3 linked regions of the Drosophila melanogaster genome follow. The protein of the gene in region 3 interacts with the protein of the main gene of each other region in a pairwise test. Each region holds a gene or a part of one and is shown on either strand. Other genes may lie near its edges.

Evidence for each region. The genes of interacting proteins can lie anywhere in the genome.
Region 1: the proteins of Zasp52 (region 3) and CG6843 interact in a two-hybrid assay, tested with the Drosophila melanogaster proteins (one large-scale study listed by BioGRID).
Region 2: the proteins of Zasp52 (region 3) and Neto interact in a two-hybrid assay, tested with the Drosophila melanogaster proteins (one large-scale study listed by BioGRID).

The regions. Positions count from the first base shown.
Region 1 is NT_037436.4:18,899,879-18,903,452, reverse strand, and holds CG6843 (uncharacterized protein), read right to left. Parts: upstream 1,860-3,574; 5' UTR 1,723-1,859; coding exon 1,651-1,722; intron 1,573-1,650; coding exon 544-1,572; 3' UTR 501-543; downstream 1-500. Other genes in the region: CSN1b (COP9 signalosome subunit 1b), read left to right, coding at 1-308; arx (asterix), read left to right, coding at 1,981-2,133, 2,202-2,552.
Region 2 is NC_004354.4:13,444,013-13,448,902, reverse strand, and holds the start of Neto (neuropilin and tolloid-like), read right to left. Parts: upstream 3,001-4,890; 5' UTR 2,626-3,000; intron 1-2,625.
Region 3 is NT_033778.4:15,811,912-15,816,819, forward strand, and holds the start of Zasp52 (Z band alternatively spliced PDZ-motif protein 52), read right to left. Parts: upstream 3,007-4,908; 5' UTR 2,818-3,006; intron 1-2,817. UniProt on the Drosophila melanogaster protein: Regulator of cell matrix adhesion having two related functions, one upstream of Actn organizing the Z line and the other downstream of integrins regulating assembly of integrin adhesion sites.

The DNA.
Region 1 (3,574 bases), on a different chromosome or scaffold from region 3:
CGTCGGTGGGCGATCTGGAGAACGAGGTGATGCAGTTGATATTAGACGGACAGATCCAGGCGCGTATTGACTCCCACAATAAGATCCTGTTCGCCAAGGAGGCGGATCAAAGGAACAGCACCTTTGAGCGGGCTTTGATCATGGGCAAGCAGTACCAGCGTCATACCCGCATGCTTGTTCTTCGTGCTGCAATGCTCAAGAGCCACATCCACGTGAAGAGCATTTCCCGGGAGGGTGGAAGCAACCACGGCGCCGAACTTTGCGTCTCCGCCGGATCCTCGACAACTGCTCAACTCGCCCGAATCTAGAGCAATTTAAAAGCACCACTTAATACCCAATAAATTTTTTAAGATATGTATATCACAAGCTGGCAAAATAAATAATTATAGCAAAGCTAATGAATGATTTTAAAAACTAGTTGGTTCCTCAAAAACGAAAAAGCACCATACTTCATCGTGTAAATGAAATATAAATTAAATTAGAATTTTAAATATGACGATACAAATTGATAAAAATTTATTGGTGGGTTTTACAAAACTAATTCTACCGCCTGGACCGATCTCTGCGCTCCCTCTCCCTTCTTCGGTCTCTGCTAAGCGATCGCGAGCGATCTCTGGAGCGGGATCGATCTCTCCGATGCCTATTTTCATTGCTCCGCCGTTGGTAGCTATGATCCGAGTCCCTAGTCCTTTGATGTCCATTTCTTTTGTCGTCCCTGTGATTGCTTTTGTGATTGTCCTCGGAGTCGCTGCTGTCCGACGATGAAGAGGAGTCTGAGCTATTGCTAACTGAGCCCTTTTTGTCTTTTCTGCTCGATTTGTCCTTCTTGGATTTCTTTTTCTTGCTATCTTTTTCGTGCCTTTCCTTTTTTGATTTCCTTTTTGTGGGCTTCTTGATGCCCTCGCCTTTGCGCTTCATTCGTTCAATCTTCTCCAGTTTCTTCAACAGCTTTAGCTTTTGTTTCTTGGACAGGGATTTGAGAAAAACTAGTTCGGGATTTTGGTCATCGGCATGAGCGTCCTTCTCGCCATCGCTGGGCACCAGTTGATGTTGCTGTTGAATGGCCCTTATGCTCTGCAGCTCCTGTGCCGATCGCTTCATCATGAGGCCATCCTCCTTCATCTGTTCCTCCAGCACGTTTTTGGCCATGATGTCGCTGGCCTCTGTTTCTGCGTGCAGTTTCCGTGCCTCGCTCATGGAAATGCTGTACATGGTGCACTCCTTGTCCGTGTTGATGTGGCCCCACTTGTGGCACTTGAGACAACGCACATTTCTCACCTGGATGCCGAAGGGCTGGTCCCTGATCTCGGTGTCGCCCTTGCAGTACGACTCTCTAGGAGCGTTGTACTTTCGCTGCCACTCGAACTTGTACTCCGGCTCGTTGTCATCTTTTTCGCGCTCCTTTCGCACTCCTGGCGGTGGCTCGTACATGAAATTGACGCTCAGCTTATCCTTGCTGTCCTTGCTGAGCATTGCCTTGTTCTCGTGCAAATTCTGCTCCTTTTCATACTGGTTGCGTAGCTCCTCCTGCTTCTTTTTGTACGCCTCCGCCTGCTGCTCCGCCATCCAGACCTGCAGAAGGTAATCCCTATAGTTTTAGGCGTTTTGCTGGGGAAGAACATATTTCATCAGGAGCCCGGAGCCACTTACCCTTTTCAAGTTGTCCCTGGAGGCGGGGTGGAAGAATTTCTTGCACATGTAGTTGTTGAAGCCCTTGCCCATCTTGCTGCTGTGCAATTTCGCTACCAAATTGCAAACAAATAACCAATATACAACTTTTATAAATACTTTCCAGCTGCGATATCAGGGCACTTTGACTGCGCTTATCGATAGGCTAAGAAAAGTATCGCATTTCATTATCGGTATAGTAACACAAGTAGATAAAGCGTTGCCGGACTGTTTGTATTTTACGAATACATTTTAAAAGCAACTCGAAACCTTAGGTTTTGTTTCATGATGAATAACTACGACGAATCCGATATGGTTTATTGCCCGTACAACAAGGAGCACAAAATGCTGCGCAAGAAGCTCCAGCAGCACATCTTAAAATGCCGTGTGATCTACAAAGACACGGTGGAACTTATGGTTTGTCCCTTCAATAGTTCCCATTTGATACCAGAGCCCCAGTTCTTTGTGAGTACAGAATATACGTAGTAGTTACCTTGTATGTCCTATTAAAGCCCAGCTTTCTGCATACGTAGCAACACACCCAATCGTGCGAGGATCGAAACATTATAGTACACTATCAGACCAGCGCTCCTGCTGTCCTCAGCGAAGACACCAGACACGCGAAGATCGAGTCCGAGGAGAACTGGGATGACGACGAGAGTGTGCCCGATTACGATCCTCAGGTCTACTGTTCCAGGGCCAACATAGTGAGAGAGCCCAATGGGTTGTTTCCCGCCCAGCGAAGGGCTTTCATCGAGCAGGAAAAACGTCGTCACTTTGGCGAGGATTACGAGGAGGAGAAGAAGCCGCGGAAGGCCAAGGCTCGCGCGGATCTTCGTCCCACTCCCTACGAGCACAGGAGGCCATACTCAAGGCGCCAGTAGTTCGTGTTCATCAAGAATTACTCCCACTGCCAAAGAACAAAAACCAAAACATTTTATCGGGGCTTATACTCGTTATTATAACCAAAAAAAACAATTCCACGGCCAAATTGTTAAAATTAACATGTGCTGTGAAACAAGTATTGCTCGCAGTTCAGATGAGCAAATGACAAAATCAATCTCATATTATTCTGAGATAATGAAAATAACATACATATCCCAAATTCATGTACATGTGTAAACTATGTGCCTTTTTCCATTAACGACACAGATAATCGTGAAATAAAGCATTTCACTTTGTTTCTTATCAAAAAAAATACTCGTTTCTTACTCTTCCTTAACCTATCAGTTTATCCCCAACAATACCTTTATTCGTTTATACCTTTAATTCGTTATTGCCAAAGTGGGTATATAAATAGGGGAAATCCGACGTATATTGGTTTCTTTAGTTATCCTAATAATATTGGCTGTTTTTCAAATCGGTCTGTTCTGTTTATTCTACCTACAAAATGAAACTCTTTGGGAAAGTTAAATAGCTTTGAAAGTTTGCTGTTGATGCTTATCAAGATTGTATAGTAGGAATACACGATCGATTATACATGTAAGTAGCCATTACGTATTAAATCTGCTATTTTTGGATTTTTGGTTACAAGCTTAACTTAAATCAATCATTTGACTATTAATTTGAATGGATGGATGCCAAATACAGCATTTTATAAGTCCAAATTCAATGAAAACTCTATTTCAAGCTAATGCAAGTCAATTAAAGGTTTTAACTTTTAGAGTAACAAAAATATGGAGAAGATGGCAGTATAAGTTATATCTGAAACAGAATCTAATCGGGCAGTAATCAAACATCAATAATCTTTGCAAAACAAATAGCAGAGCGTCTCTTTTTAAACTACTCCAAAACTTCTCAGCTACGTCGGTTTTCCGGCACATTTATCTAAAACTTCATTCAGGGAAATAAGCCAACAGATCCATTTGTGAAAATCAACTTTCCTTTATTGTAAAGAATGGCGCCG
Region 2 (4,890 bases), on a different chromosome or scaffold from region 3:
GCTTTTCTGCTCTTTTTCCGTTCTGATTAGTTGTATGCCATTGCGTTTTCCAACCACCCAAGTCCAGCTGCAATTAGTTTCACATTCCACGGGAAATTGCTGCGAAAATCGCCGCACAATGCAAAAAGGCTTTAAGATCAGACTTTTTTGCGGCCAAAAATAATACGGGGAAAGAAATGAAAACACTGTGGACAGACACAAATAATAAATAAGAAGAAATCCCAGCAAATGAGAGAGGACCTGTTGCTCGGGACACAAAGGAAATGGGTGGTCAAAGGAGGCGGAAAGCAGTTAAGCTAACCGAAATCGCCAAAGGAAGTTTGGGCTTAACTGTAAAAACTTTTGGCTTAATTTTATTGAAATAAATGGTTACAAAAATTGAACAAAATTTAATCTCAGCACAGCTGCAGAGAGATAAAACTAAATGGAGTCCAATGTGGAAAAACTAGAAGGGAAATTACAACATGGCTAAGAAAATTAAAAGGATCACAAAAACGAAATGGTTGAATTAAAATCAATGGAGAAAATCTGAACAACAATATAATCACACTCAGAAAATACGGAGTACAAATAAATATTGCTATTAAACATTGATTTGTAATTGTTGAATGCTGGATACATTCTTCTTGAACAAAATAAGAATACACAGAAGAAGAAAATAATATGATTTAAGCTTTCTTTTGGAGTAAGAACTCATCCTTTACTTTAGTCCTTAAAAGGCAGGAATAATCCTTTTCCCTATTTGACCAGCTGGTCAACATGCCATTAATTACCATCGAAGTTTCCCTTCAAAAATAAAAAAAACCCTCGTGAATAAAAGTTTACCACAAAAATTTTGTTTGCCTCGCCCAAATTTATGAGGGCAACATGCTGAAAAAATTTAAGAAAACCGAAATGGGAGCAGCAAAAATGAATGGAAAATGAGAAGAAAAACTAAGAAATCGACGAGGGCGCTGAAAGTGCGTGTATAAGATAGCCTTGAGCCACATATGTGGGAATGGGATATAGAAGAGCGACAGACGAGATGAACATAATGCAAAACTTTGTCAGCCACCGATAGAGAGAGATGGCTGCACAGCATGCGAAAGAGATGGGACGATTGGAAGTCTAGTGAATTCATTGAGACGGCAACAAAACAGAGAAAACACTGGGAAATTAAGTTAATGGACAATTAACAACCAACACAATACCCCGTAAACAATTAATTTATTCAATCTACTAATGCAATAAATAAAGATTGCATTCAGTTTTGCAAGCCCAAATGATTATTATTGTTTTGCGGAGTATATTTTTATTTAACCTAATAGCATAGTTCATCAATCCCTAATCCATACACTGCGTATTCGCGAGGGTATTTAAAGAAAAGCCGATGGAAAACCTTCGTCAAAGTTGGCGCTAACGGAATTGTTGTAGTTGTAGCTTGGAAAATCTTCTTCAATAACAGCAGCAACAACACAAAATACCCATTACGCATATGTAATAATTTTTATTTTCATTTTTTTCCGAATTTTCTTCTGTTTTTTCTTTCTCTTCGTGTGATCACAGCTGTGCCGTGGACAAGGAAAAGCGGGAAAACGAAAGGGAAAATTGGTGAGAGAAGTGGGAAAGCCTGATGGCAGCCGTTTAATTTTTGCTCTTGTTTTTGTTGCTGTCTTTTATTAATGAATTTCTCTCATTTTTCACCAATTCTCTATAGCCTCTGCGTTCGTGTCTTTGGTTTTTATACAATTTTCCCCTCTTCGCTTACTCGTTCTGCTCTTGTTTTTTTACTATTTGGGCTATGTCTAAAAATATGTCCGCCAATTCGCTAAGTGGCCCCAAACTTATCTATACGGGATACATAGAAAATACGGTCGAAGTTTCCAAACGAATGCGACAAAATAGTTTAAATTAAACATTCATTCGAAATCTTTCAACATATATTGTAGCTTATATGAGATAAATAATAAAAACAACAAAAAATCGAACACTTTTCAAAATGTTTAGAAATGTTTAATCGCAAGTATATTCGATCTAAAACTGCTGAACAAATTAACAATTAATAATATGTATAAATATATCCCAAGACGCATTAAAATAAAATCAAAGACTTAAAGCGCACTAATAAAAAAGAAAAACTCATTTAAGTGGGCACTTACTAGGAAATTACTAGAGATTATTTTAATATTGCTTTAGAATCCGCATAATGGACGCCTTCTGTGCAAAAGGAATTTTTATGACACATCCACTTTTTGCCTTTTCATTTCCATTTTGTTGGCTAAAACCGAACAACTTTTACAACTACAGGCTAAAAGAGACTAATGTGCCCTCTGGATCATTGAAGCTTGATTTATGCAAATTTCATTCAGCTACCACAGCCATAATGCCTTGATTTGATTAATATATTCGCAAACATATTTATTGCCTATTATGCGGAATGCAGCAGTATACGTATTTATTTTATAATTGTTATCCTTTGCAACTTAATATTGTCACTAGCCCACTAATTAATTGGTAAATATCGGCAAATAGATTTGTTATTTTAAGAAAACACGGAAATATAATTTGTTTACATTGCAAAGCTGCCATCTAATATATATATGTATATGTGCATATGTTTAATTTATATATATATGTATATATTACTATTTGCGTGTTGTCGCCTCCTTTGGCTGCGTTGCGAAATGTTGTTTTTATTTGTTTTTGTTGCCGCTGCGCTCCGCGAAAATATCTCAATTTTTGGCGCGCATTTTTCAAGCCGGCAAGCTTTTCACACACACACACTTTCACACTGGCACTGTCACTGTCACACAAACAACCAAACAAAAAAATTTGTATTTCTTTTGAACAAAAGCAAAACCTTAAGATTTTAAAATCGTATCTCTGGTGCTTGTCTATTAGCAACCAATCGCGATGTTTTTTTTTTTTTGGTAGTGAAACGTTAATATCGAATGTGCTGTCACCGGAGAAAGCGAACCGCGCCGCGTGTCCGTACACGTGGCCAACTCGACGTAGACTGGGCGTATACGTAATGCCGGAATTTGTGGCTCTGCTGCATCGAGTCTGCCGCTCGACTGTTGCCGCTGCCACGGCGGATGCTGCCACTGCTGTTGTCGACCCGCCAGTGCTGCTTACTTAGCCGGCTTTCCCGACAACTCTGGCTAGTTTTTCCAGCCGCTCACTGTCTTATTCTTTTCTATCAACCAAAAAGAATTGTATTCGTATTTATTACTTTATTATGTTACTACCTAAAATTGATTGAGTTGTTTGCCCAATATCTATAGAAGTTTTTTTTTTAATACTAACAATCATTAACATAATAAAACAAACTAATTGGATTCCACTTGTTAAAAAAAAAAATACGTATTAATAAAAATATCTAATTTTAGAAGAATATCACACCATAAAATAAAATACTTGCGAGAATCTAGCAATTTTTGTCCATTTCCCACGCTTAAAAATTAATTTCCCGAAAAGAAATTTAAAAATTATAAGCTGATATGTATTATCTTATTTTTCTAGCCTCTCAAATTGACAGTACTATTTATGACGGATCTTAGCTTTTAATTATTTCTTTTAAACAAAAATTGTTTCCTATTAGATTTACGGATGTGAATATGAAAACTGACAGTGATCTATAATATCTTGCTTTTCTATAGAGATTAAGAAATAAAAACTTAATAAAAATAAATTATGGGAAACGTCTGCTCGATATCCAGATGCATTTCTTAACATCAACATATTTTCGCCGCCCACTTTCAAGCTCATTTTAGTATATACATTTTGATATGGTAAAGAGCCAAAAAATAGTGCGATTTATTTTAAAACTTAAACTCATTTTATCACAACATTTCACCAAAACGTTAAACAATGATGCAAGTATACGGGTTTCATGCGAACCTTAAGAAATTGGAAAATAATTATTTTCAGCTTTTTTTCCCCCCCAAAATATTTGGCATCTCTGAGGATGCTCCACAAACGCTCAATGTCGAGTGAGTGGGAATACGAGGCGATGGCCGAAAGCAGCCGAAGTGCGTTCGTTTGTGGCACAAAATTTCACTCGAAACGGAATTTCCCATTGTTCGAGTGCGAGTGAGATGGGAGTGAGCGGGAATTTTGAGTGAGTTGTAGGTTTTTTACTCATTTCCGCTGGCACTTCCGACGTCGTCCTGGGCCAAGGAAGTTGTAGCCACGCTGACAAGGACAACAAAGTCTGTCTTCATTTTTTGTTCGGCTTCTTCGCAAAATATTTTATTTTATTTGCTTTGGTTATATTTTGCTTTCTTTGTGTTTTTGTTGTTATTCTCTTCTTTTTTTTCGTTTTTTTTTTTTTGGTGAAATGTCAAATGACATGCCTGGATCACAGACTGTGGAAACTGTTGTGAATGTGGTTTTCTTAAAGCCTCAAGCGATTTGATATTTCCTTTGCGATTCGTTTGCATACATTGTACGAAATGTGTGCGAAATAAAAAAAAAAAACGACTTCTGTGGTCTCTTAAAAACTACATTCCCTTCATTACAACATATTTTTAATAACTTGAGATCCCGCAGATTACGTGAAGTTTCTCCAGACACTCTTAATTGCCTTTATATTAGCTTTCGAAGCGTTGCTATGACAGAACGCGTTAAACACCTCAAATAAAAGTAGAAGCCTATCATCTAATACTCTCTCAAATTAACCAATTTTAAAATCTATGTCATTGCTCGAGCTGCTTAAATTAAATTGATTATTAAGCTGATGGAAACCTTAAAGTATAACCAACAATCTGATGTTTATTATTGCAAAAACATATAAAATTTCCAATTGTAGGTTGTAGTTACGCTTACTTGATAACCTGATTAAGTTTTAAACGAAAGGCAAACCAAAAGAGAAGTTGTCATTATTTTCATTACCTCTCCCAAGCTTAGCAC
Region 3 (4,908 bases):
ACTCAATCGCAATCTCTCGATGGGTTTCTGTGGCTTTTGCCGCGGCGATGAAACCAAAAATTGTTTGCCAGTCACGTTTGTGGTGCAGAAAGAGCAGTGGCAGCAGTGGTACCCATTACCCATTTAGCAAAAAGTAAAAAAAAGGGGTATGGGGGGGAGGGTTCAGACAATTCGAGTTGCGTTGAGTCTGCACTTCTTCGTCGAAGATTTCGCGTCTGTGGGCGTTTATTTTCAACGCACTGCGGTTATGTAATTGCGAGGCGTCGGATACGTGATTACTTTTAGTCAAATTGCCGCTCGAATATTGTGTAATTCCGCTCGACTCCGCTCGCCTCCTCCACTTGCGATTTCATATCTGTGCGAAAGTGTGCCATCGCAGTTGTTGGCCAGGCGAAAGTGATTAACTTGTTGGCAGAAGTTAAGGTCAGGGTTGCACACCTCACAAGTGCTTTTTAAGTGGGAGCAATAACAGAGCACTATAACTTAGTAAATCGATAAGGAGAGCTAATAGTATCAGTCTGTATAGCAATAAATGTATTTATTTATGCTATATATTGGGAAGTAAACATTTGAAGAAATTGTTTCTTTGCTGAGATGATATCATTGGCTGAAATAGCACACCTTCTTTCCTATAGCCAAGCACTGCATTTAAAAATTCATTATAGAAGTTCTTTTAAAAGCCATATAGCATATAGCATATGAGATTCAAGATCAGAAGGTCGAAAGGGGTCATATCTCAATCTACTCCTACAACCATTCCCAGGCAAGAACCTTCCATTAACGTATGTTTAAATATTCTTGAATCATTATCATCGGTCGGGTTTTGCGTTGTTTCGCCACCTTTTTTTTTTTTTTTTTTTTTGTTCTTTTGCTCTGAGTGACATACGAACCCTGAAGAATAAACAAAGATACAAAGATACGAGAGAAGTGCTTGTCTCAGCAAAAGGAAAGAGAATGCAATCTACCATGACAGTTCACGAAGGTTAAATTCTTGAGAAATGATTTGGTGGCAATCGTAGAGACCGCAGAGAATTTGCAAAAAGCAAAAGCGGCCAATGAGAGAGCGAACTAATTAAAATATACGCAAAGCTGTTTGAAATTTGTAGAGCATGTCTCCCCTTTTTTGCCCCATCGCTCAGTCCCCCGCGATGGTTGCAATATGTGCACGAATCCGAGTCAAGTGAAGCCAAGCCATGAAATATTGTCACGCACCCAGGAACGGAATGGGATAGGATAGGAATAGGATGTGCACGAGAAGTGCCATTCTAATGAGCTCAGCTACATTTCCACGACGGCCTTAATTTACGATTCCCGGCCGAGAAGGAATTTGCTAGTATTTTTCAGCAGTGAGAAAAAATTTAGATACAATTCTGTTTACTAAAAGAACTCGACTTAAATAATTAAACGAACAGTCAGCTCTTTGTTTTCGGTGTATTTTCTAGTGCACCCATCATCCTCTGCGTAATTAATTCCGCCCTGGACTGATAAACCCCAGTGTAAACAAAGACATTTCATTCATCGAAAAAGTGGTCAGTGGCAATGGCTATTAGCTCATTCAAGTTTATAGAACCACTATCTTATCGGGCATTGATTCACGGATGTTGTGAGGCGTTGTAAGATTGATTCGGTCGAAGTGGCGATTGCTTTACAGCTATTATTGGTGAGGTGACCAAACATTAGTTTAATCGCTAGATAACAAGGTGGGTGATTAATCGATTTCGTCGTTTTGTTGGGGTTCACTGAACCCAGGCTAAAAGAAAGCCAGAAGATAAACGGACACAAGAACAGGGCGAGTATCAACAAGTTTTGGTCATGGCTAAATTACATCACAGGCAGACTGCTGGTGGCCTGGCAGGAATTGGAAATGGCAAATGGAAATGGAGAGCAACCACTGCGTATACGTGATGTCAGCGGCAGTGAGAGTGAGCGAGAGCTGGCGAGGTAGGCAGAGAGAAAAGGAGAGAGCGATTGCTGAAAATCGCTGAAAATAGATCAGGCGAAGAGGAAATCCGAAGAGCAGCCACGAAAATCGCAAACGAAAATTGCCAAGATAACGAAAGACACTTTTCGAGGAGGCGACCTAGAGAGCTGGTCTGGCTTCATTAATATGCGATGCTTTATGCTGTCGCCGATATATAGTCTATATAGCGCTCAAAACGTTTTGAAAATGTCTCAGAATTTGTGGCGCCAAACCGCAGCAATTCGAGCATAGAAAGGAGGCGCAGGAGGTGGTGGCCGCCACATTCGCAGCACTTTCGCAATTTGTGTATCTGTATCTGGCAGATATTGTATCTGGCGGATGGCTGCTGGCGAACGGCGCTGACTGACTGACTGAGCGAGAGTATTCGGAAACAAATCCAATCCGCGCAGCCATTTCGAGGAGCTATAAATAAACTCACCTTGAAAAGTTTCTAAAAATTTTCTCGCTTTTTGACTATATAATTTTATTCAATTTCAACGAGCCGAAGATCTACAACGTATCTGTATCTCTGTATCTGTGCTCTGGCCAACAAATGTGATATATGCGTCAAAAGAAATTCCCTGGATCGGCGTGCCAAGAAAATTATTTACCAATCGCCTATATTATTCGCGCTGAGTCTTCGGTTTCGTAAGGGACTTTACTTGTTGTTAACCTTCACAAAATGCACACAAGTCACTATTTAGTGGACGAATGGTGAGGGAGAGGGGCGGTGACTGTCTCTGATATTGATTCTGATTCATCAGCGATCCTGGCGAATCGATTGCGGCAGGCTATTGTATAACCAGCTGATTTCTACTTAACCGAATGTCTGATTTCACATGCGACCTGGTACTGACCGATTTATTCCGATCGGGTGGCTTTCTGCTGGGATTCGATTAGATTCGATTCGATACGGTTTCGATTTGATTTGATTTTTACTGATTTGGACTTGGATCTCGGTTTCGTATATTCGTGACGTTTGTGGTGCACTGCCAGTTCAGTTCTTGGGCGACGTTAACTAAGCGACGATTTTCTCTCAACTAAAGCAAAAACCGAAACCGAAAATTTTTATGTGCATTTTGTGCCGTTTTCGAATACAAAAATCTTTTCAACCACATCGCTGCCGTCGCAGTCGTCGTCGCTGCCGGCGTCGCTGCTTTTGGGCCGTGCGAGAGGCAGTGGCAGTGGCACAGTCTGGCTATATAGCATCTATATAGACATTGTCGGTTCTCAATTCCCAACCGATACGACGGCAGAGCCGCAAAGCTACAAAACGCCAGACGACGGCGACGGCAACGGCTGCCAATGTCTGTCTGGCTTTTGTGGCCCACTGTTTTGTTGTTGTTCCTGGTGCGGGCTATTCTTTTTGTTATTTGGCTAATTGTTTGTATTTTGTTTTCATAGCCAAGCTTTTAACGGCGCAGCCAGCCAAATGCCCATGTGCAATCAGTCCGTTTCGGGGCTGTAACTTATAGTAATCCTATAATTACATCTAGTTAAATGGGATAAACAATTTGCTGAAGGGCTCAAGTACAATTGCCCAAAAAATAAATCCTTAAGTAGGATAATTTCATTATCTATACTTTAGATATACATAAAGTTTCAATGATCTCATATTATTGTTTCTTGTCATGAATGTACTATGCGTATGAAACGCACATTTGGCACATCTCTTTGAAGTTGAAAGCAAGTGCAGGTGCTGAACTATTTCCCGTGATCTGTTTTCCTCAAAACCACAACAAAGTGTGCAGCTAAATGGGAACAACAACCCCGAATAATCTGGGGAATTTGGGTCACAAAAGATCCTAAGTGCGTGAATCAGCGGTGGTGACTCCATCCGAGCTATGATCCATCCGATCCATTATCCATTTCTCAATAAACAATTAATCATTCCGTCGGGGTCACACATCCCTCATACCCAATGCATGCTTCTTTTAAAGATCGCAGGTCCAAAAACATACTCTCGCTAAAATGAAATTTCCCTAAATTGAATTTCCAGTGCATGAAAAGTGAGCCATAAAGCATTAATATGTTAAAATGTAGCCATAGCGCAAAGCTTACAAAAATAAACGCAAATATGTTTTTGCCAGCGCTGATGTGCTCAATCAAGCAGCGAAATGAAACGAAACGAATTGAATCGAATCGAGGCAAACAATCCACCAATCCACCAAAAAACAAAAAAAAAATGGACAGGAAAACATGGACGACTATGTAGATAAATATGTATAATATAATATAATATTTGGATGTTTTATGCCGCGCGTATTTGTGTCTACATCACATCACATAGCGGGTGGCATAAAAAGCTCAGGCGGGTTAAACAAGAACAGCAAACAAGTAAACAAATAATAATAAACCAACCCGCCACCTAACTATGCCGACAAAAAACATTTCGGCTTTTTAATTAAATCATGTTGAGTGGCAAAAATGATAATAAAGAATCTAGCGCAATTCAATCAAAATCACTAACAAAAAACACTGTTCTTGCGGTTTTTTATTACGCATTTCGGTCAGGCGATTAAGATACGAAATACCGAGATACGGGCGTAATTAAGTTTAAAGACCGCATCTCGGCGATCTTTCGTTTTTATGTTTTAATGACAACGGTGACAACGGTTAGTTACACAATAACTTGCGGTTAACACTTTTGCTTTTTATACCAATGCGGTTTAATTGCTTAAATCTGTCTTTGATATTCGGGGATGCTGAGTCAACGGTCAAGTTTTCGGAGCCATGAATCACACAATCGAGCCCTGTGGCTCGAAACCGGCTCTTCGCGGAGCCGTTTTTTTTTTTTTTTTTGAAAACTTTTTGGCAGGAGGCCAGCACAAACAACAAACAACGAACCACAAACAACAAATCGCCAAGAAACTGGCCAAGACACTTACACTTCCTTCACTCGCACTTGTTGGATTCGCAAGCGGATTCGTAACGTTCTCTCTCTCTGC